Saccharomyces cerevisiae S288C: one gene and its partners. The gene in region 1 interacts genetically with each later gene. Each region holds a gene or a part of one and is shown in the gene's direction. Other genes may lie near its edges.

Region 1 (4,291 bases):
AAAAAAAGAGCATATATCCATACATATAAAAAGAACTGTCCAGGCGTAGTACCGTCTTCATCAGGGCAACTAGTAACTAAATCATTCAGCAAATCCGATGAAGAATTTTTGGATAAAGATATAAGAACGTTTATAACATCGTTCAGTTCCTTTGCTGTATGATCAGTTAACGGGGAATTAAAGATAATGGAGCGGACCTTCTTAAACAAAAAATCGTTAACAATCCTCTTATTCCTCAGGTAAAATTTAAGGATTAGTCCGTTCAAACAAGTGACCAGGATAGGCCTGTTCACAAAGGTGAGACCATCATAAATTTGCTTGAATAGTTCCGTCAAGTATTGCAAATTTGTCATTGTTTTTGGCTTACTCATCAAAATTTGGTAGATACGGTTAAACTTTTCAATATCTATATCTTCAGCATCTCTCACACCCAAAACGAAATCAATCAAGCTGATCAGACCATTTTCCGGTCTTCGTAGAGTTAACGTTGTTAACTTCGAAAGGATTGGCTCCCTAACCTTTTCGTCTTGAATTGTTTCTACTAGTAGAGTGTAAACCCCAAACAAAGTATAAGTTTCTTGAGTATCTTCTAGATTTGTAATCATTTGTGAAGAGTACCTATTAGGCAACTGCAAATGTAACACAATCAAACCTAATAAAATGTTTGCGTAAGCACTGCCTTTTGATATTATTTCTCTCAGGTAGTCAGAAGACCTCTCACTAGTTAGAACATTATAAAAGACAGTTATGACTTGAGATAAAGTATCGTTATTTATGGTGTGCCATCGAGGCGTTTCATATTCTGCGCTTTTTTGGCCCTTCTTGAAAGTATTTATTCTTTTCGAATCGAATGGAATTTTCATCGTAGGAGACAAATTAGCATCTATACCATGAATAATCAAAAGATTTATCAGTTCGTCTACGTATTTCATATCATGCAATGAGATAGGCAATAAGTCACTTTTACTTTCGATGAGCCTCCGTTGCTGTTCTAGTACGTGAATGTGCAAATTCTGGAATTTCTGTAAAAGTACTGCAACAAACTCATTGTTATTTGAGCACTTCAACGCCTGATAAATGGAAGAGGATGATGATGAGCCTGAATCAAGAACATATTCGTTTATGGGAGTAATTACATTGTCATCCAGATCTTCGAAGAAAACATCTAGGGCTGTCTTTTTGGTGAGCTTCGGTCTTGTATTCAATATATCGTGTATGTTGATCTTTTGCTCTTTATCCTCATTCATTTTCCAACCTTTTGTTTTTCTTGATCTGATATGACAAGAAGAAACATGAGGCGGTGATGAGCCCTTATTGCTATATGCTGTTCGACGCGATGAGATGATTACATGTTTTTTATTAAATTTCTCAAGCAGACTGCGGGTAACCTTGATTTTTAATTATTCAATAGGAATTCTTTTTTTTTTTAGAAAATAAAATGTTCTGCGTAGTGTACTTCTATTTATAAATATAATAATATTATTGATTAATTAGGCATCGCATTTTCAAAAATTTTTAAGAATGCGGGACACCAATTTGAGATTGTTGTGTCAGTAACCATCCAATGTTTAATGGTTTTCACGGCCATATTTTTGTCTTTTTCATTGAAAATCTGGGATAGTACTGTTTTGGTGTGCTCGTTTTGTAAAATCTTGGTAATGTTTGAATCTAATTTTTTCTTGTAAAATTCCAACTCCTTCGAAGAGAGCTTCGAGCCACACACACAGAGGTCGTTGATCTTAGCCACTAATTCTTCTTTACTGCATAATATCGGCTGGAGCTGTCTATCGCCTTGGTCTTTTACGAGCACACCTTCACAGGCAGATTCTTGTTGAGCAGCAGTTACAGATGGCCTCCTCAAAACTGGTGGCGGCGTAGTAGCTGTTTTAGTGTTCCCATAAAGATCTAACACTTCTGTGGCAAGTCTGCCGCTAACACATCTTTTCGATTTCGTTCTTTGTTTAGATTTGGATCTAGGTCCGCTATTAGGGTCGATAGAAAACAAAACTGTCGGACAGTCGTTATAACCAGGCACTTCAGCTTCTAGACAATTCTGAAAACTTTTGGTTGGTTTAATAGCCATCGTACGTAATAGTATGTGCGGAAATAGATTGACGAAGAACCGACAGATGCGCGTCTACTGAAGCTCTTATGAGTAGCCTGTGTGAATAAAGAAGCCAGCTAAAAGTAAATATGTGGCATCTTTATGTCTTACGAGCCGGGTACCAAGCGGCAGCAAAGGGTCCCCCCTAAACGACGTGCTTATCACCCGGCCGTTGTTTACGAAATGGCCTTTTTTGACGTTTTTAGTTTCAATGGATGGATGAAAAAAGCAAGTAAAATGACAAATAAATGCTGTTGGCAGGTTAAATCGTTTAATATACCCATAAGAGAGCTGGAATAGTGTGGAATTGTAATACTTTACATTTGAAAACTGCCCATACACGCACAAATATTGCAGCAATGAGCAACGCTAATCCTTATGAGAATAACAATCCGTACGCTGAAAACTATGAAATGCAAGAGGACTTGAACAATGCTCCTACTGGTCACTCAGATGGTAGCGACGATTTCGTAGCTTTTATGAACAAGATCAACTCAATAAATGCTAACTTGTCCAGGTACGAAAACATTATCAACCAAATTGATGCGCAACACAAAGACCTACTTACTCAAGTGAGTGAGGAACAGGAGATGGAATTGAGACGTTCTTTGGACGATTACATCTCTCAGGCCACAGATTTGCAGTATCAATTGAAAGCGGATATCAAAGATGCCCAGAGAGACGGATTGCACGACTCTAATAAACAGGCACAAGCTGAAAATTGCAGACAGAAATTCTTAAAATTAATTCAAGACTACAGAATTATCGATTCTAACTACAAAGAAGAAAGCAAAGAGCAGGCGAAGAGACAGTACACAATTATCCAACCGGAAGCCACTGACGAAGAAGTGGAAGCCGCCATCAACGATGTCAATGGCCAGCAGATCTTTTCCCAAGCGTTGCTAAACGCCAATAGACGTGGTGAGGCCAAGACAGCATTGGCCGAAGTACAGGCTAGACATCAAGAGTTGTTGAAGTTGGAAAAAACAATGGCTGAACTTACCCAATTGTTCAATGACATGGAAGAGTTGGTCATCGAACAACAAGAAAATGTGGATGTCATTGACAAAAACGTCGAAGACGCTCAGCAAGATGTAGAGCAAGGTGTGGGTCACACCAACAAGGCCGTTAAGAGTGCCAGAAAAGCAAGAAAAAACAAAATAAGATGTTTGATCATCTGCTTTATTATCTTTGCTATTGTTGTTGTCGTTGTGGTTGTTCCATCCGTTGTGGAAACAAGAAAGTAATAGAGCACATGCGCCTCCCTCCCGCCAGCCCCCCAATTCCTATTATGTGTAATCAAACAATTTCTATTAAAACCGAAAACCTAAAAATTGTAACGTCTTTTCTCTTTCCTACTATACCCTCCTCATACCTGCCTTTTTAACAATTAGTATTATAATTTTTTTTTTTCACAAAAAGACAATACCGACTATCTAATAAATAATTTTAATACGTATGTAATTTCGTTAAGAACAAGAATTTTTAAGTAAAAAATCTTACTTTTAAGAAAAACTGTCGCCCTTAATATTAGTCCCAATTTTGTAACGAAAAATAAAATACAAATCGGGGTGGAAAAAGGGAAATTTTACAACATTATTATTCCAAAAACTAGTTTTCAAAAAGTAAATCGTGGGGGTATGAACAACAATTGTTGTAGTCGCAACTACGGTAATTGGTCCTAAAAAATTATTCTCCGGGAAAAAAAGAAGAAACAAAGAGATCCCGAAACATAAGTCCCGTGATTCTTTTTGCCCCCCGCTTTCTTTCGCCAAGAGAAGAGCAATTTATTGAAAGGCTTTTCTTGATGTTTTTGGGTTGTGAAAGCGTTAATAGCGCCAAGTTAGAATAGTAAATATCACAACTACAATATCTACACTTCTCACTTGCGCATTAACCTGCACACGTACTAGACTTTATCTGTCTTGATTGTTACTTCTAGACCAATCAACATTGAAGCGCTCGGCAAATGCTTGACAAGAAAAAAAACTAATTTTCCCTTCGCCTTTTATAGTGCCCATCGGATAGGATATTCCATCTTTGTCTTGCGCCCACTTCGTTGTCGTTACCCGCACGTTGTGTTTTTTGAGGGCTTGAGCAAATTCTTACAGTTAAGGTACAATAGTTGTCTCGAAGAGCAGTACATCAACGGCCTGACGACCTACAGTAGCACTTTCCTTTAAGTGT
Region 2 (5,618 bases), on another chromosome or scaffold:
TATCTACAGCATTATGATGAGTCGCTATTATCAAGGTACTATCCTGAAAGTCTTTTAAAATCCATAAAACTTGCTCAACAAACGATACCAGAAGATACTAAATTCAGAGTATCTCGTAACGTGGAATTCGCACCACCATATTTGGATGATTTTACCAAAATACATCCTTTTTGGGATTACAAACCAGGCATGCCCCATCTCCACGCTCAAGAGGAGAATAATAACTTCAGCATCTTTAGATGGGACCAGGTACAACAACCATTACCAGGCGAAGGTAACATTCTGCCTCCAGGAGTCAGCTTACCAAACGATGGTGGTCGGAAATCGAAAAGCGCCGATGTAGCTGCAGGGCTACACAAGCAAACCGGTGTAGATCCGGATTATATCACTAGAAAGTTGACTATGAAGCCGCTGGTGATGAAAAGAGTGTCAAATCAGACTGGGAAGGGTAAAATTGCGTCTTTCTATGCCTTGGTTGTCGTTGGTGACAAAAACGGTATGGTAGGTTTGGGAGAAGGTAAATCTCGTGAAGAAATGTCCAAAGCGATCTTTAAAGCTCATTGGGATGCGGTAAGGAACCTGAAGGAAATACCTAGGTATGAAAACAGAACTATTTATGGTGATATAGATTTTAGGTATCATGGTGTGAAACTACATTTAAGAAGTGCAAAACCAGGGTTTGGATTACGTGTAAACCATGTAATCTTTGAGATTTGTGAATGTGCAGGTATCAAAGATCTGAGTGGGAAAGTATATAAATCCAGAAACGATATGAATATAGCTAAAGGTACCATCGAGGCTTTCACGAAAGCTCAAAAGACATTGGATGAGGTTGCCCTGGGTAGAGGCAAAAAGCTTGTTGATGTCAGGAAAGTTTACTATTCAAGCTGAAATACTATGTACATACACACGCACCATTATCTCTCGTTTTACATAAGTAAATACAGCAATAATAATACCTGTAAATATCTCAACATACTCAATCAAATGAGCTGATAAGCATATTCAATTTTTCTTCATAGCAATATTTTTTTCTGTCCAAGTTTTATTTTTTTTCCATAATTTCTGATTTACTACCATTGAAAATTATAAAAGGAAAAATATTACGCGCTACCATTTAATAAGTAGAAACAACTAAGTTCTCGAATGAGATGTTTGCACTGATACAGCGAGCCAAAAAATAACCAAATGACTGCTACTAGCGACAAAGTACTAAAGATTCAATTGCGCTCAGCAAGCGCTACTGTACCTACCAAAGGTTCTGCCACTGCCGCGGGATACGACATTTATGCATCTCAGGATATTACCATTCCGGCTATGGGTCAAGGTATGGTTTCCACCGACATATCGTTCACCGTACCTGTTGGTACCTACGGTCGTATTGCGCCAAGGTCAGGCCTGGCAGTGAAAAACGGTATCCAAACCGGTGCTGGTGTTGTCGACAGAGATTACACCGGTGAAGTTAAAGTAGTTTTATTCAATCATTCACAGAGGGATTTCGCGATCAAAAAAGGTGATCGCGTAGCCCAATTGATTCTGGAAAAAATTGTCGATGATGCCCAGATCGTTGTTGTAGACTCTCTGGAAGAAAGTGCAAGAGGGGCCGGTGGCTTTGGTAGCACTGGTAACTAACTTAGTGTATATACTTTGGCACACTTGTATAATGTATAATAAAATCAGGATAAATCCAGTGTGACCCGGACTGAATTACTGAAACTTTGAAGTGTTAAGGAAATTGTACTGCCATTTAACGCATTTACCTATCACTTAGTAGCATGCATAAGCCATGGGCTAATCATAACAGATTGTGATGATAGGCATCCTGTACTCCTTTTTTTTACAAGAAAATGAGCAACCAGGCACTATATGAGAAACTCGAACAAACCAGGACGATTCTGTCCGTGAAGCTGGCGGAATTGATAAATATGACTACGATAGCCGATAGAAATGATGATGACGAGGGTTCATTCGCACAAGAAAATTCTGAGCTCGCTGTGGCCACGACCAGTGTGATGATGGTGAATAACCAGACCATGCAATTGATTAAAAATGTTCAAGACTTGTTGATCCTGACCAGATCGATAAAAGAGAAATGGCTACTGAACCAAATTCCTGTAACGGAACACTCAAAAGTGACTCGTTTTGACGAGAAGCAGATAGAGGAATTACTGGATAACTGTATAGAAACGTTCGTGGCGGAAAAAACTACGTAAAAAGGCGGTATTTATCTATTATTTGGCCAAAAAAAAAAAAAAATACATACTACATATACATATACGCCATAAAAAATCTCTGCATCTATCTTATTTCCCATTATTTGGACAAATGCTTACGTGCTAATGTCCTTACCCTCGAGTCGAATGCCGGGCTCCTAATAGGGTCTGTAATCTTATAAAACGGGTTCATTAGTGTCTTTACGTATAGTTCGTGTACCTCTTGGTAGAATGACCTCATATTATTGTCGTCAATAACTACGCTACTGTTGGCTGAGTTCCCATGGATCATCACGAACTTCATCCCACTATAGCTAATATAAGCCGTTATTGCTAGTCCATAAAAATGATCAACTTTACCTAGATAACAATTATCAGTATTGTTTACAGCTCTAGATCGAAGGAACCCACCACCGCCATTGGATCCGTTTCCACCGTTCCCATTTAACTGTGAAGTCGGATTAATTTGCCATTGTAAATCTTCTACGATATCTAGTGATGCATGCAGTATGAACGGATTTAATTCTTTTAAATCCTGAGGAAAACCCTGTGGATTTTCTGCATTGGTAAACTCGATTTCATAGACAGGATTGTCCTTCTTACCAATAATGGCAAAATACTGAGGCATCTCAATGTGCTTTGTATGTTTTTTCTGTATTCTCTATTCGTATTAGTGTTTACCTTCTCTTTTTTTTCTTGATACAGATTGATATTATTTGAAAAAATCTGATGAGTAAGGCTTTGAAGAGGTAAAGGGGATATCAAGATAAAAAATATACACTTCAGCAGAGGAGGGGGAGGTACTTTAAACGGATGAAACATGACTCATACAAATGAGCACGACCATAAGGCTGAACAACAACAAAATGGAAGGGGCGATACAACAACAGAGACTGTAAACCCTCAGAAGATGAAATTGGTTACCAAACTTCTCATTGATAATAAATTTGGACTAATGGACGACTTGAATTTTAGTATACCATTAACCGCTTCTTCTGAGGGTGTACCAATATCAGCAAAGACATCAGAATTGGGTACGGAGTACCTCAAGAATCAACAAGAGAATTCAGTAAGCCCAATACTTCCAATATCAAGAAGTACAAGAATAAAAGCAGACAGGGTGAGAATATATTTAGACTATTATTATAATATATTAGAGCGTTGCATTTCAATTGATAGCTCCCAGAATCATCATGAGGGTGTTGAAGGGGTGTACAACCCATTACAAGTTATTAGGAATCGTAAATTAAAAAAGAAGCATCATGAATTACCTACCAGAGAGTTTTATACTACAAAACACCCTATTATTGCCATTAAGCAGTTTTCGAAAAAACCCAACAAAAAAATGCCGTGGTTTGTAGATATAAACGAGAAGTATATGGATTTGACTTGGAGAACTTCGCATTGGGAAGAATTAGTGGATCCTCAAGGTAAGCTTTGGTTCCAGTCTTATAGTCCTTCCAACGAATCGAGCGGATCATCATCATCCCGCCGGCATCATGGACACCACATTCATCCCAGAAGACATTTACAACATCACTCCAGGGTCCGTACAGCTAATTCAGTGCACTCAAACACTCAATCACTGACACCGAAACGAGTCATGACCAATGAAGAAGACAATAATAATCATAACAATAATAACATGATAACGAAGATCGCAACTACTCCAGAAGCTCAGATTTCAAGGAACAAAAAATCTGATCTCAATTTAAGTCACATTCATTTAGAGGTACCAATAACCAATACAGTTACAAACACCTCATCAGATCAGGGGTCATTGATCATCGAAGCAAAGGGCAGTAGCTATGGAGGTGATCGTCGTGGAAGTAGTAATACCAGTGGAAGTGGTGGGAAAAGAAATTCTAAACATTATCGTTCAAAATCAGCAGGCCCCCCGGAAAACGAGAAATCAAGAATGAATGGGCTCGAAAAAATCATTAGTAAAACGTCGAAAGGATGGTCTAGATCACCAAAAAAAAATACGCCTGGGCTTGAAAAACAGGTGCTTCTGAATCCCACTATTAGTAATGGAGGCACCAGCAGAAGGAGCAGTAATAATGGAGAGAGTATTAGTACCAACAGTAGCAAAAGTAGCATGGGAATTACTTTTGGAAACACTGAAACTTACAAGACGCCGGTTGATAATGGGAAAGATGCTATAATACGGCAAAGTTTGTTGAGCGAAGTGCCAGTTCATACCTTGAGAGGTAAAACCAGCAACAGATCGTTGCGAGCAGAAGGTGAACAAGCTCTTGAAAGTGACAAAGAATTACCAAATGGTGCTGGGAGTATTTACGAAGGTGCGCCTAGGGAGAAGACTACTAGTCAAGGTAGCGAACCAGTGGGATTAGTAAGCGATTCCTTACAGGTTGACGAACAGTTACAGAGATACTGGCATGATACAAGGTATATTATGAGTACCGTAGCTATGATGCAACACAGGAGAGAGACACATGATATAGTGAAGAGGAGAGAAATTGCACGAAGAAACGAAATTGAAATTACACAAGATGCAGATACAAACATTAGGAAGACTGCAGATGCTTTGACTCAGTATGATAATGAATTGAATAAAGTTTTAAAGCTAGGTAATGACTGGACATCAAAACTTCTGAACGACTATTCAATTCGTGTAGAAACTTTGATATCATCTAGTGACAGAATTCTTAGTGATATAAATACAACATTGACATTGAAGTTGAAAATGTTTCAAGAGAATACAGAAAGGTATGTTACGGTGAAAGTTATGAGAGCCCAAAAGATGACCAAAACCATATATCGGTTGCTGGAATTTGGCATTGTTTTAGTTCTTTGGACAATTTGGTTTTTGTTCAGCGTCCTGAGAAGCATTCGGTTCACAATTTTTTTAGTTCTAAAAATCATTAAGGCATTGCTGTGGTAATTTGCGGGTCTATGTATTTATAGAAATAAACCATCTGCACTGATATATGAATATATAAGTAGACATGAAAATAACTTTCATGTAGTTGACCGGGAAGAGTTCAAACTCTCATCCTCCAGAAAAAGGCCTCTCTCAGCAGCTTCATCCATAATCTTTTCTCTTCTTTTCTGTTCCTCACGATAATAATTTGTCTGGAACTTGAGCAATTGCTTATCAGCTCTGAAGACAGCACCCATTGAAATCCAAGAACAATGATAAAAAACACGCACTTGAGTTCTGACATTTCTATATACTGATGAAAATCTTCTCAACAGCAGCGCTGAGGCAATACTGAAGAGAGCACCTTGGGCAGCTCCTATACATGATGCAACAGTAATCTACGAATGAGAAAGAAGGTTAATTAGACTTGTGTTAGCGATTTATTCTGGGGTGAACAAGACAGGGCCAGATATATTCTTGAATTTTACATACTTCTTTAGTTAATTGTTTAACAGTTTTGG
Region 3 (4,797 bases), on another chromosome or scaffold:
GCGAATGGTCTAAGCTGCTTCTAGATATGTGGTGGGACCCCGTTCTGTATGAACAAAAACATATGGTTTGGGAACATAGAGAACAAGATGCGTTAGAGGCATTATATGAAAACGAACCGTGGATTCGTTCGAGAATAGGATTTTTGCCCTTAAGAACGATCAATGCATTCCCACCGGGAGCATGCTCTGAATACAGTGGTGACTCAAGATACTTTTACAGTGAGAAAGACCATGATTTTGTTGTGAATATGGCCGGATGCAATTTTGGCAGAGATTGCTGGGGCGAGATGCAGTACTACACCACTTTAATGGAAAAACTGAATAGGAAATGGTACACGAGATTTTTCTTCCCATAAAATGGAAGTTATCAATATTGTAAAGAGAAGCATTTACAAGCTTTTATTTTTCTTTTTAATTTCCACTACTGGTTCTGCTTTAAAATGTTGTTTTATAATTTATGTACATTTAGGCCTATAGAAGATTCTTTCAATAATATGCTACACATTCTTTTATTTTTCCATCATATGTTGGAGTTTATGCCTCCTCGGCAGGAGTTGGGCGGTGCGAAGAGAAGAAAAAGAGTGAAACTAAAAAAAGGAATCTGCCTTTGCATAAGTTCAAAAGTGCAATTTTAGTGTTGGATTTAAACGGGAAAAATTGAAATGGCCATCGAAACAATACTTGTAATAAACAAATCAGGCGGACTAATCTATCAGCGGAATTTTACCAACGACGAACAGAAATTGAACAGCAATGAATACTTAATTCTTGCTAGTACACTGCACGGTGTATTCGCCATCGCGAGCCAGCTGACTCCGAAGGCATTACAGCTAACTCAACAAACGAACATCGAAAATACCATCCCATATATACCTTACGTGGGCATGTCCAGCAATAGGAGCGATACAAGAAATGGAGGTGGCAATAACAACAAACACACTAATAATGAAAAACTGGGCAGTTTTAAAGGAGATGATTTTTTCAAAGAACCATTTACGAACTGGAACAAGAGCGGATTGAGACAACTATGCACGGATCAGTTCACGATGTTCATATATCAGACCCTAACCGGCCTGAAGTTTGTCGCTATCAGCTCCAGCGTCATGCCCCAGAGACAGCCAACTATAGCCACCACCGACAAGCCTGACCGACCCAAGAGTACATCCAATTTGGCCATCCAAATAGCCGACAACTTCCTAAGGAAGGTTTACTGTTTGTATAGTGACTACGTCATGAAAGACCCATCTTACTCAATGGAAATGCCTATAAGATCTAACCTGTTCGACGAAAAAGTCAAAAAAATGGTAGAAAACCTACAATAGACGCACGCGCCATCGGAAGATAAACGCATTCACACCAAGAAAATAAATACTACGTACTTCTAGAACTAAGAAGAAGTTGCCGCTCTCCGTCTCCTCCTTCATAAATAGGGATAGCTTTTACTACTACGTACGAAAAAAGACCACACTGCGACGGATCCTCTGCATCCCAACACCAGCGATAGAAAATGCGCCGCCTATATCGTCATCTTGCTTCCTTTTTCTTACTCCCTTCCTGCCCTGGAAACACCATACAATCCATCACATCATATCCTGCCAATGCACTATTACGCAGCTTTCGGCACGTGAGTACGGAAACACCAGTTCGGAACCGGGTACACAATAGGGATAGTCAAAGCTGTCCATTTTTTCCGCTGATGGATGACTGATACCAAAGTGTAACCCAAAAGGGGTAGTCGATCCTACTTTTACCAGTTACGTTAAAGGGACCAAAACGTGGGGAAGGGATGCCGCCACCACCACCGCCACTACCCCCGCCAACATGGCCTAACTTAGCAGTCCTCGCTTGTGTATCTAGGTCCGCGTCCGCTAATTCGCGCGGCTTGCCACTTAACCCCGTCCAGTTAATTTGCCAAGCAGCGGCCGCACGTTGGAACGTTTTCGCCGATTTATTTATTATTATTTATACATGTTGACGTTGGTGCCCTTTTGTTTATACTGGAGCCTAAAACGTACCTCAATTAAATTTAGTGTGCCATATTATAGTGCTATTAAACCTTTATTTTTATTTTTAATTTTAAAACTGCTTTGGTTCTCTCCCTCCCTTACCGTTGCCACCTTAAGACTCACTGATATTTATTCATACTTACAAGTGCTATAAGAAAAGACTTGATTTATTAGCTTTACAGCGTTTTTACATTTGTGTCACTGCTATTATATTTTTGTTTACCTCTTTTTGTTGCTGGTGTTGGCGCTACCATTGTTTTTTTGTTTTATGAGTTACGTTTACAAAAGTTCTTAACATTTACTGTACGATAATATACTAAGGTGAAATACTAAAGTAAAATAAAATAAGAGAAAGAAAAAAAAAAAAAAAAGAAAAAAGTAATGATGATGTTCCATAATTGCAGAATTAATAACTACTTAATAACTTCTCAAATTGGCGAAGGCGCGTACGGTCTGGTTTACCGTGCCTTAGATATTCGTACCGATAGACAATACGCTATCAAAGCGGTTGTTCAAAGTTACGGTGTTAGCAAGGAGGCTGATATGGGCAATGATAAAATACACAAAAATAGCGTGAAATTGCAAAAGAAGCTCGCTAAACTGTTCAAGGAATCGAAAAACGTTGTCAGGGTGCCCTCTATAGATCTAGAATCAATTGAGAATATGTCAGAAGAAGATTTTAAAAAGCTGCCCCATTATAAAGAGATTTCGCTACACCTAAGAGTCCACCATCATAAGAACATTGTCACCATACATGAGGTGCTACAATCTGCAGTCTGCACGTTCATTGTCATGGATTATTACCCAACAGACCTATTCACGTCTATTGTAGATAACAGACATTTTGTCACTAATGGACTGCTAGTAAAAAAGGTTTTTCTACAGATCTGTTCTGCTCTTAATTATTGCCATGAGCACGGCATCTACCACTGTGACATCAAGCCTGAAAACTTGCTACTGGATACAGAAGATAACGTTTTCCTATGCGATTTTGGTCTATCCACTACTTCCACATATATAAAGCCAAATGTTTGCATTGGTAGCTCGTATTATATGCCCCCTGAAAGAATCTCATTTGATGGGAGAGTTTCCAGCTCTAAAAGTGGGGGACATAAGTTGGGTAAGGTTTGTCCCTCATGTAATGGCGATTTGTGGTCATTAGGTATCATCCTTATCAATTTGACATGCATCAGAAATCCCTGGCTGAAGGCTGACAAAACCGAGGATAATACCTACTATTATTTCACTAAGGATCCCAATATACTAAAGCAAATCCTACCGCTTTCCGATGACTTTTACTCATTATTATCTAAGATTTTACAAGTGAATCCGAAGAATAGAATGAGCTTGCAAGAGTTGATGAAAGAAGTTAGTTCTATTACAAGCTTCACCAATGAAGGCCCGTTATCAAAAGTGCCGCCTCTTTCCAAGTCTGTTTATGAAAAGTTCGTTAGCCCCGTCGATAACACGAATGAGAATTTGTCTCCAAAATCCTACGTGTACATGCACGATAGTAAAGCTGCCAAGAATTTATCTTATACATCTTCAAGTGAGGAAGAAGATGGAATCAAAGAAGGGATAGACGATGATAATGGCAGTCGCAGTGGCAGTTTCGGAACGCTAGACACAGACACTGGATTGCATTCTTCGTTCACAAGCACTTCTTGCGAGTCCGATAACGAATGTTCTAAGATTTCCAACAAATTTTCCTTGTTCGAAAAAAAATTCAACGAACTTCGCATGAGTTCCTCTTCTTTAACTAACTAACCCCCTCCTTTTTGGCACAAAAGTGTACTACACATCTGTTTTAAGCCCACAATTGATAGACCTTCTCTTGATGATCATCTGTTTTCCCGAAAATATTACTTGCCAAAGCAAGTTGTAGTTATATTCACACTTCCGTTATGACCCCCTCATCCGTTTAATGTTATTTGTTTTTATGGTATTCCCTTTATTCATTTTTTTTCTTGCTTTTTTTTGTTGATCCCTGTAACCCCTTTTTTTTTTTTGGAAGTTGCTATTATTATTCATTCACATTTGTTCTGTCTTTGTTAATTTTCCAGGTCACCGTATTTAATTTCTATATAACTGTTTCTAATATTTACTTCGTTTTATCCAAGCGTTATTTACTCAATATTCAAAACTTTACTTTTTACCACCTGTATAACATCTTTTTCAATTTGATAAAACGTTTTGAAATCTAAGGGAACAATGTCACAGTCAGTTTCGTCGTTGATGTCTGGTAACTCCAGATCCCTGAATTGAGACTCCATCATATCAGCTTTCATGAAATGACCCTTCCTTGTTTTGAGCCTTTTCAGAACTTCTATTTTACTTGCATACAAAAAGATAAAATGGAACTCCGATTCAGGGCATGTGTGCCTAATCAAATCTCTGTATTTCTTCTTCAAGCTCGAGCAAGCAACAATTGACAAATGCTCCTTAGTGCTTGCTGCAGCTTTTGTAGATTCTACGGCAACTTTTTTCAACCAGTCCCAACGGTCGTCGTCATTTAATGGAATCCCTCTTGTCATCTTTTCTACGTTGGCAGGCGGGTGTAAATCATCACCTTCGATGAATTTCAAATCCGGGTATATATCTTTAAATTCATGGATTAGTTCACCTGCAATGGTTGATTTTCCTGTACCTGCAGTACCTGCCAATACAATAACCTTAAATTTCCCCATAGTTTTGTGTTTCTCTGTCATCAACTGCGTTGTCCATCCATACGCTTACTGAGACACTATGAAAGCCTGTTTAGTCTTCGGAAAGCTATTTATTGCTTGCTACT
Region 4 (6,561 bases), on another chromosome or scaffold:
AGCAGGTGATGGAAAAGACGGGGATAAAAGAGAAAAGAGAACGCGAAAAAATACAGGTAGCGACCACAACATATGAAGATAATGTGACTCCACAAACTGATGATAATTTTGTATCAAATTCACCCGAGCCACCAGAACCTGCAACACCATCTAAGAAGTCTTTAACCACTAATCATGATTTTACTTCGCCCCTAAAGCAAATTATAATGAATAATTTAAAAGAATATAAAGACTCAACCTCCCCAGGTAAATTAACCTTGAGTAGAAATTTTACTCCAACCCCTGTACCGAAAAATAAAAAGCTCTACCAAACTTCGGAAACCAAGTCAGCAAGCTCGTTTTTGGATACTTTTGAAGGATATTTCGACCAAAGAAAAATTGTCAGAACTAATGCGAAGTCAAGGCACACCATGTCAATGGCACCTGACGTTACCAGAGAAGAGTTTTCCCTAGTATCAAACTTTTTCAACGAAAATTTTCAAAAACGTCCCAGGCAAAAGTTATTTGAAATTCAGAAAAAAATGTTTCCCCAGTATTGGTTTGAATTGACTCAAGGATTCTCCTTATTATTTTATGGTGTAGGTTCGAAACGTAATTTTTTGGAAGAGTTTGCCATTGACTACTTGTCTCCGAAAATCGCGTACTCGCAACTGGCTTATGAGAATGAATTACAACAAAACAAACCTGTAAATTCCATCCCATGCCTTATTTTAAATGGTTACAACCCTAGCTGTAACTATCGTGACGTCTTCAAAGAGATTACCGATCTTTTGGTCCCCGCTGAGTTGACAAGAAGCGAAACTAAGTACTGGGGCAATCATGTGATTTTGCAGATCCAAAAGATGATTGATTTCTACAAAAATCAACCTTTAGATATCAAATTAATACTTGTAGTGCATAATCTGGATGGTCCTAGCATAAGGAAAAACACTTTTCAGACGATGCTAAGCTTCCTCTCCGTCATCAGACAAATCGCCATAGTCGCCTCTACAGACCACATTTACGCTCCGCTCCTCTGGGACAACATGAAGGCCCAAAACTACAACTTTGTCTTTCATGATATTTCGAATTTTGAACCGTCGACAGTCGAGTCTACGTTCCAAGATGTGATGAAGATGGGTAAAAGCGATACCAGCAGTGGTGCTGAAGGTGCGAAATACGTCTTACAATCACTTACTGTGAACTCCAAGAAGATGTATAAGTTGCTTATTGAAACACAAATGCAGAATATGGGGAATCTATCCGCTAACACAGGTCCTAAGCGTGGTACTCAAAGAACTGGAGTAGAACTTAAACTTTTCAACCATCTCTGTGCCGCTGATTTTATTGCTTCTAATGAGATAGCTCTAAGGTCGATGCTTAGAGAATTCATAGAACATAAAATGGCCAACATAACTAAGAACAATTCTGGAATGGAAATTATTTGGGTACCCTACACGTATGCGGAACTTGAAAAACTTCTGAAAACCGTTTTAAATACTCTATAAATGTATACATATCACGAACAATTGTAATAGTACTAGGCTTGCTAGCTTTGCTTTCCCATAACCAACAATACTTAGTGATGTATCTTAAAACGACTAAAAAACTTCTCATATAACCCTACTGAAAAACGTCTGATGAGCTCTTCGAAAATTCAGACGAGTTATGACCTATATTTGTTTTTCATTTTTTTTAGGTGAACCCCGCCATTCTGAAAATGCCCTATTCAGAGCTCAATAACCGAAAAAACTTAAAAATACTGAATAAAAGCCATAATCCTATGAACCCCCTTTCTTGAATGAGTAAATTCAATAGCATTGTTGAATCAGAATCGGTGCCTCGGGAGCATAAGCAACACAGGACATCATAGAGATAATTTTAGTTGCCATTCATTTTTTGCTATTACGTTTTCCCAAGCTCTTGTTTTCGTCCCTGTCGCCTGTTATTTTCTTTCTAATTAGCACTGATCATGTCGATCACGAATGGTACTTCTAGAAGCGTTTCGGCAATGGGCCATCCGGCGGTAGAGAGGTACACTCCAGGCCATATTGTCTGCGTAGGCACACATAAAGTTGAAGTGGTAAATTATTTAGCAGAAGGTGGCTTTGCTCAAATTTACGTGGTGAAATTCCTAGAGTATCTTAATGAATTTGATAATACAGCAAGTGTTCCCTTAAAGATTGGCGATGTCGCATGTCTGAAAAGAGTATTAGTTCAAGATGAGAATGGATTGAACGAGATGAGAAATGAAGTGGAGGTAATGAAGAAATTGAAAGGGGCCCCAAATATAGTACAATACTTCGATTCCAACGCCTCTCGCCGTCGTGATGGCGTTCAAGGATTTGAGGTTCTTTTGCTAATGGAATTGTGTCCAAACAAATCTTTGCTAGATTATATGAACCAACGATTGTCAACGAAACTGACAGAAGCTGAAATTGTGAAAATTATGTATGACGTTGCTCTTTCTATCTCTCAAATGCACTACCTTCCTGTGTCCTTGATCCATCGCGATATCAAGATTGAAAATGTCTTGGTAGATGCCAAAAACAATTTCAAGCTAGCTGATTTTGGGTCCACGTCGACATGTTTCCCAATTGTCACTACTCATCAAGATATTGCTCTTTTGACTCAAAACATCTATGTGCATACTACTCCGCAGTATAGGTCCCCTGAAATGATTGACCTTTACAGATGTCTGCCCATTAACGAAAAATCAGACATATGGGCTTTGGGAGTTTTCCTTTACAAATTATTATTTTTCACCACCCCTTTTGAAATGACAGGTCAATTTGCTATATTACATTCCAAATATGAATTTCCTGTCAACAAATATTCATCAAAACTAATCAACTTAATCATTATCATGTTGGCGGAAAACCCAAATTTGAGACCGAACATTTATCAAGTATTATACCATTTATGTGAGATTTTAAATGTGGAAGTTCCAATCGAGGATAAGTATGCGGAAGGTGCCTATAATTTTTCTAAATATACGCAGTTTCAGAATAAATTACAAAATGTTCAATTGCAAATGTACCAGCTACAACAAAAGAAAATTATGCAGAACAATAAATTGAGTGACTCAGAAGAAAACTTACTGAATGACATGTTTCTTTCTTCTTTTGAAATCTCATCCAAACTTCCCATGAACGCTAGTGACGGTCATGCCGCTGTTTCTAGAATACCATCTCAAAATGTCGGCCAAGAACTTGAAGAAGAGAAAGAAAGTCAATCCGATCAGAGGAAGTCTACCCTGTCCGAAGATAAATCGTCAAGAACAACATCGAATGCTAACAGTTCTGGTACAGCCAATAATCCTCAAGAAATCAATACAATCCAGTCTCCAGGTATAGAGGACAAATCAATTTTTGAAAATAAAACTCCTGGAGAGTTATATTATCCAAGCGTGAGCGAATTAGATACTTATTTGGACAAAGAATTGGTCAAACAATCAAGTGATCCGACTATTTCTGAACAAAGTCCTCGTTTGAATACCCAATCACTACCACAGAGGCAAAAGAGCACAAGCTCTTATTCTTCAGGTGGCAGATCAATGAAGAGCACATCATATGGTGCAGCAACGATCGGGTCAGACGAAGCCTTGGCGAACGAGAAAACTGCTGGTATTAATAAGATGAAACAACATAAATCGAATAATCCCTTTCCAAAAATGAATGTTGCATACCATTCTACGAATGAATTGAGCAATGACGCAAGTAACTTTTTCCTGGAAGAACAACAGCAAGGCCAGAGATATCAGCAAGCTCAAAATCAAACAGGTACACAAGGGAATACCTTTCCAGATGAATCTCAGTATCAATCTAGAGTTGAACAACAGCAGCAACAACAGGACCAACCCAAAGGACCTGCTAATTATAGCCAAAGAAATTTCTACACTGGGAGGGATCGGTCCAATAAACCTATGCAGTTGGGTGGAACTATTGCTGGAGATAGTGGTAATAGAAGAGTCAACTTTCAGAATATTTCTCAAAATTACGCCACGAACTCCCAGTCAGGATATCTCCCAAGTCAAAATTCCCCAGCAATTCCAATGGTGAGACCTGTTATTTCCATGAATCAGCAGCAAGCGCAACAGATACAAGCCCAGCAATTGCAGGCACAACAGATGCAGGCAAAGCAACAGATGCAAGCCAAGCAGCAGATGCAAGTTCAGCAACAACTGCAAGTCCAACAGCAAATGCAAATTCAAAATGCAAATAATAATGGTACTTACGTCTCTGATAGAACAAATCATACCACAGAAGATATGAGAAATGCTCAGGGGGGTGAACCTCCAATTCTTGCAGGAAATTCTGCAAATGAACCAATGCACTCATCCTCTAAAAATGAAGCTCTCTTAATTGAACTATCTCCATTAAAAGAAGATGCAGGAAAGCAATCTTTCCAAGATACAAATGAGCCTCAAACTGGCGGTATCGAAGATGCCGGCGGTTCAGGAACTATCAAAGGCTCGAACAATAATCGAAATGGCGTTTTAAATTTAAGTTTGAATGAGATGGACTTATCAAGAGATGATACTGGTGCTGCTGTCTCCTCCTTTTCATCGTCTTCATCGTCTGCATCAATTCAACAAGCTAAGCTTTCTGGACGCAAAGGTTCCAGTAAGAGGAACAATTATTCAACAGACGAATTGGGAGATAGTATGGTCTCCAGCGAAAGCATTGATATTGATTTGGATGATGCAAGGAGAGGAAAAACAGCTGAAAGAAGACCACTCCATAATGAAAGAGGTCATAAAGACCAGGCAAGATCAAGTGATGCTAGTAAGTCTAATCAATTCAAAAGCAAGGACTTCAGCAGCGTATCAACAAGGCAACCGCGGCAGTCATTGGATCTGAATTTCCAGGAAGTAAATCTGTCTTCACCAACGTTAACTCAAGAGCATAGAAATAAAAACGACTCGCCAGCACCAAATTCACATCACTCGTATAGAGTTTCACCTCATGCTTCCACCGCAATAACTGAGAATAAGCGCCACAGTACTGGTCACGAACTGTCAACCCGGTCAAATGGCAAGCATGAAACACACAGGACTGGTTCCAAGCAAAGGCACGATTTGGAAAGATACCGGCATTCGAAGGATAAGGATAGCAATAGCAGCATTACTATTAGCACCTCAACTCCATCAGAGATGAGAAAATCCTTCGCTAGGGCCCGTCAATCGCTTGATTTGGAAAGGGTCCGTCGTGAAGCGATGGCAAGTAGTGCATCCAGTAGTGGTGGCAGTAACGGGAAAAGGAGATCTTTTTTCTCAGTCTTTAGAAGCGAGAAATGATTCGATAAATAGAGCACATATAAAATCATATACATACATTGTTACATATAGAGGCGCAGACAATCCGTATATCTTCCTCAAAAACTAAATTGATAGAACAATAGTAACTCAAATCATATGCATTAAGCATATCGTGCGAGATGACGTTTACTCCTGACGCGCTTAACGAGAAGCGGTTAAGTGAAGAGTAATAGTGCTCGCAATTTGACAGAAATGACACCATTTTAAAAGTACTAGAGATAAAGAGTGTAGAAACCGGAAGAACAAAGGTGGAACATATCATAAGGGGAAGAAATGACACAACATAAAAGCTCGATGGTGTACATACCCACCACTAAGGAAGCTAAAAGACGTAATGGGAAATCAGAAGGCATACTAAATACTATTGAAGAAGTGGTGGAAAAGCTTTATTGGACCTACTACATACATTTACCCTTTTATTTAATGGCCTCTTTTGATTCATTCTTCCTCCATGTTTTTTTTCTCACAATTTTCAGTTTGAGTTTCTTCGGTATACTAAAGTATTGCTTCCTTTGAATGATTATTTATATCCTTATTCGGTTAATAATAGTATAAGCTGGAGGCAAGGGGACAGAAAATTTAGGAGGATATCATGGAGGATAGAGTTACATAAATATACACACAATACATAAACTAATAATTGCTTGTGGCTATAGGATATAATTTATAACAGTTGATGTGCCTTTGAAAAATGACATCGTTTGGAATGAGATCAAATTTATCACTTGATGAAATCACAGTGAAAAGCGACTTGCAATGGCAGTAGAGATGACAGGTAAATTCATCCAAAAAGAGAGCCCGAAGTCTTTCTCACATTCAGAAATGGCAGAAGCAGTACTAGAAAACGTTAACGTTCCTGCAGTCGTTTCAAAAGATGAGTGTATTTATTGCTTTGAATCCCCTTATAATGAACCATTGGCCCTCAATGCATCACCTAAACATTCATTGAATATATGCTTAAACTGTTTCCAAGCTACGTGCAACAGACATGTTCCACTCCATATCCGAGTCACAGAATATGCTTGCGATACCATACATTCCAATTATTTAACTATTGCTAAAGTGGAGAAACCTAAGCAAGAAAATGTAGAAGAAAATAATAACAACAAAAAAATAAAGCTACAGGTAATTGAGACGTCAGAAGACGACACCCACAACACTATTTGGAGTTTACAAAGGTTCAATGGTGAAAATGTTCCCAGGACCGTACTTTCGAAGTCGACAGACTCTGACATTTCTTCTACGGCCTTGGAGAAGATTGA

Evidence for each region.
Region 2: mutations in SSO2 (region 1) and MTC4 together harm fitness more than expected from each alone (negative genetic interaction), as found in Saccharomyces cerevisiae (3 studies listed by BioGRID).
Region 3: mutations in SSO2 (region 1) and VHS1 together harm fitness more than expected from each alone (negative genetic interaction), as found in Saccharomyces cerevisiae (3 studies listed by BioGRID).
Region 4: mutations in SSO2 (region 1) and AKL1 together harm fitness more than expected from each alone (negative genetic interaction), as found in Saccharomyces cerevisiae (3 studies listed by BioGRID).

Annotation. Positions count from the first base shown.
Region 1 is NC_001145.3:625,981-630,271, reverse strand, and holds SSO2 (syntaxin), read left to right. Parts: upstream 1-2,463; coding exon 2,464-3,351; downstream 3,352-4,291. Other genes in the region: RTP1 (Rtp1p), read right to left, coding at 1-1,247; ADD37 (Add37p), read right to left, coding at 1,487-2,083. UniProt on the Saccharomyces cerevisiae protein: Required for vesicle fusion with the plasma membrane.
Region 2 is NC_001134.8:721,423-727,040, forward strand, and holds MTC4 (Mtc4p), read left to right. Parts: upstream 1-3,033; coding exon 3,034-5,118; downstream 5,119-5,618. Other genes in the region: mitochondrial 37S ribosomal protein uS5m MRPS5, read left to right, coding at 1-891; DUT1 (bifunctional dITP/dUTP diphosphatase), read left to right, coding at 1,189-1,632; SRB6 (Srb6p), read left to right, coding at 1,848-2,213; TRAPP subunit TRS20, read right to left, coding at 2,314-2,841; RCF3 (Rcf3p), read right to left, coding at 5,196-5,495, 5,590-5,618.
Region 3 is NC_001136.10:953,626-958,422, forward strand, and holds VHS1 (putative serine/threonine protein kinase VHS1), read left to right. Parts: upstream 1-2,387; coding exon 2,388-3,773; downstream 3,774-4,797. Other genes in the region: MNN10 (alpha-1,6-mannosyltransferase), read left to right, coding at 1-356; TRAPP subunit TRS23, read left to right, coding at 663-1,322; YDR246W-A (uncharacterized protein), read left to right, coding at 1,508-1,708; YDR248C (gluconokinase), read right to left, coding at 4,133-4,714. UniProt on the Saccharomyces cerevisiae protein: Probable serine/threonine protein kinase involved in the G1-S transition.
Region 4 is NC_001134.8:355,578-362,138, reverse strand, and holds AKL1 (serine/threonine protein kinase AKL1), read left to right. Parts: upstream 1-1,951; coding exon 1,952-5,278; downstream 5,279-6,561. Other genes in the region: ORC2 (origin recognition complex subunit 2), read left to right, coding at 1-1,487; TSC3 (Tsc3p), read left to right, coding at 5,573-5,815; ubiquitin-specific protease UBP14, read left to right, coding at 6,122-6,561. UniProt on the Saccharomyces cerevisiae protein: Phosphorylates SCD5.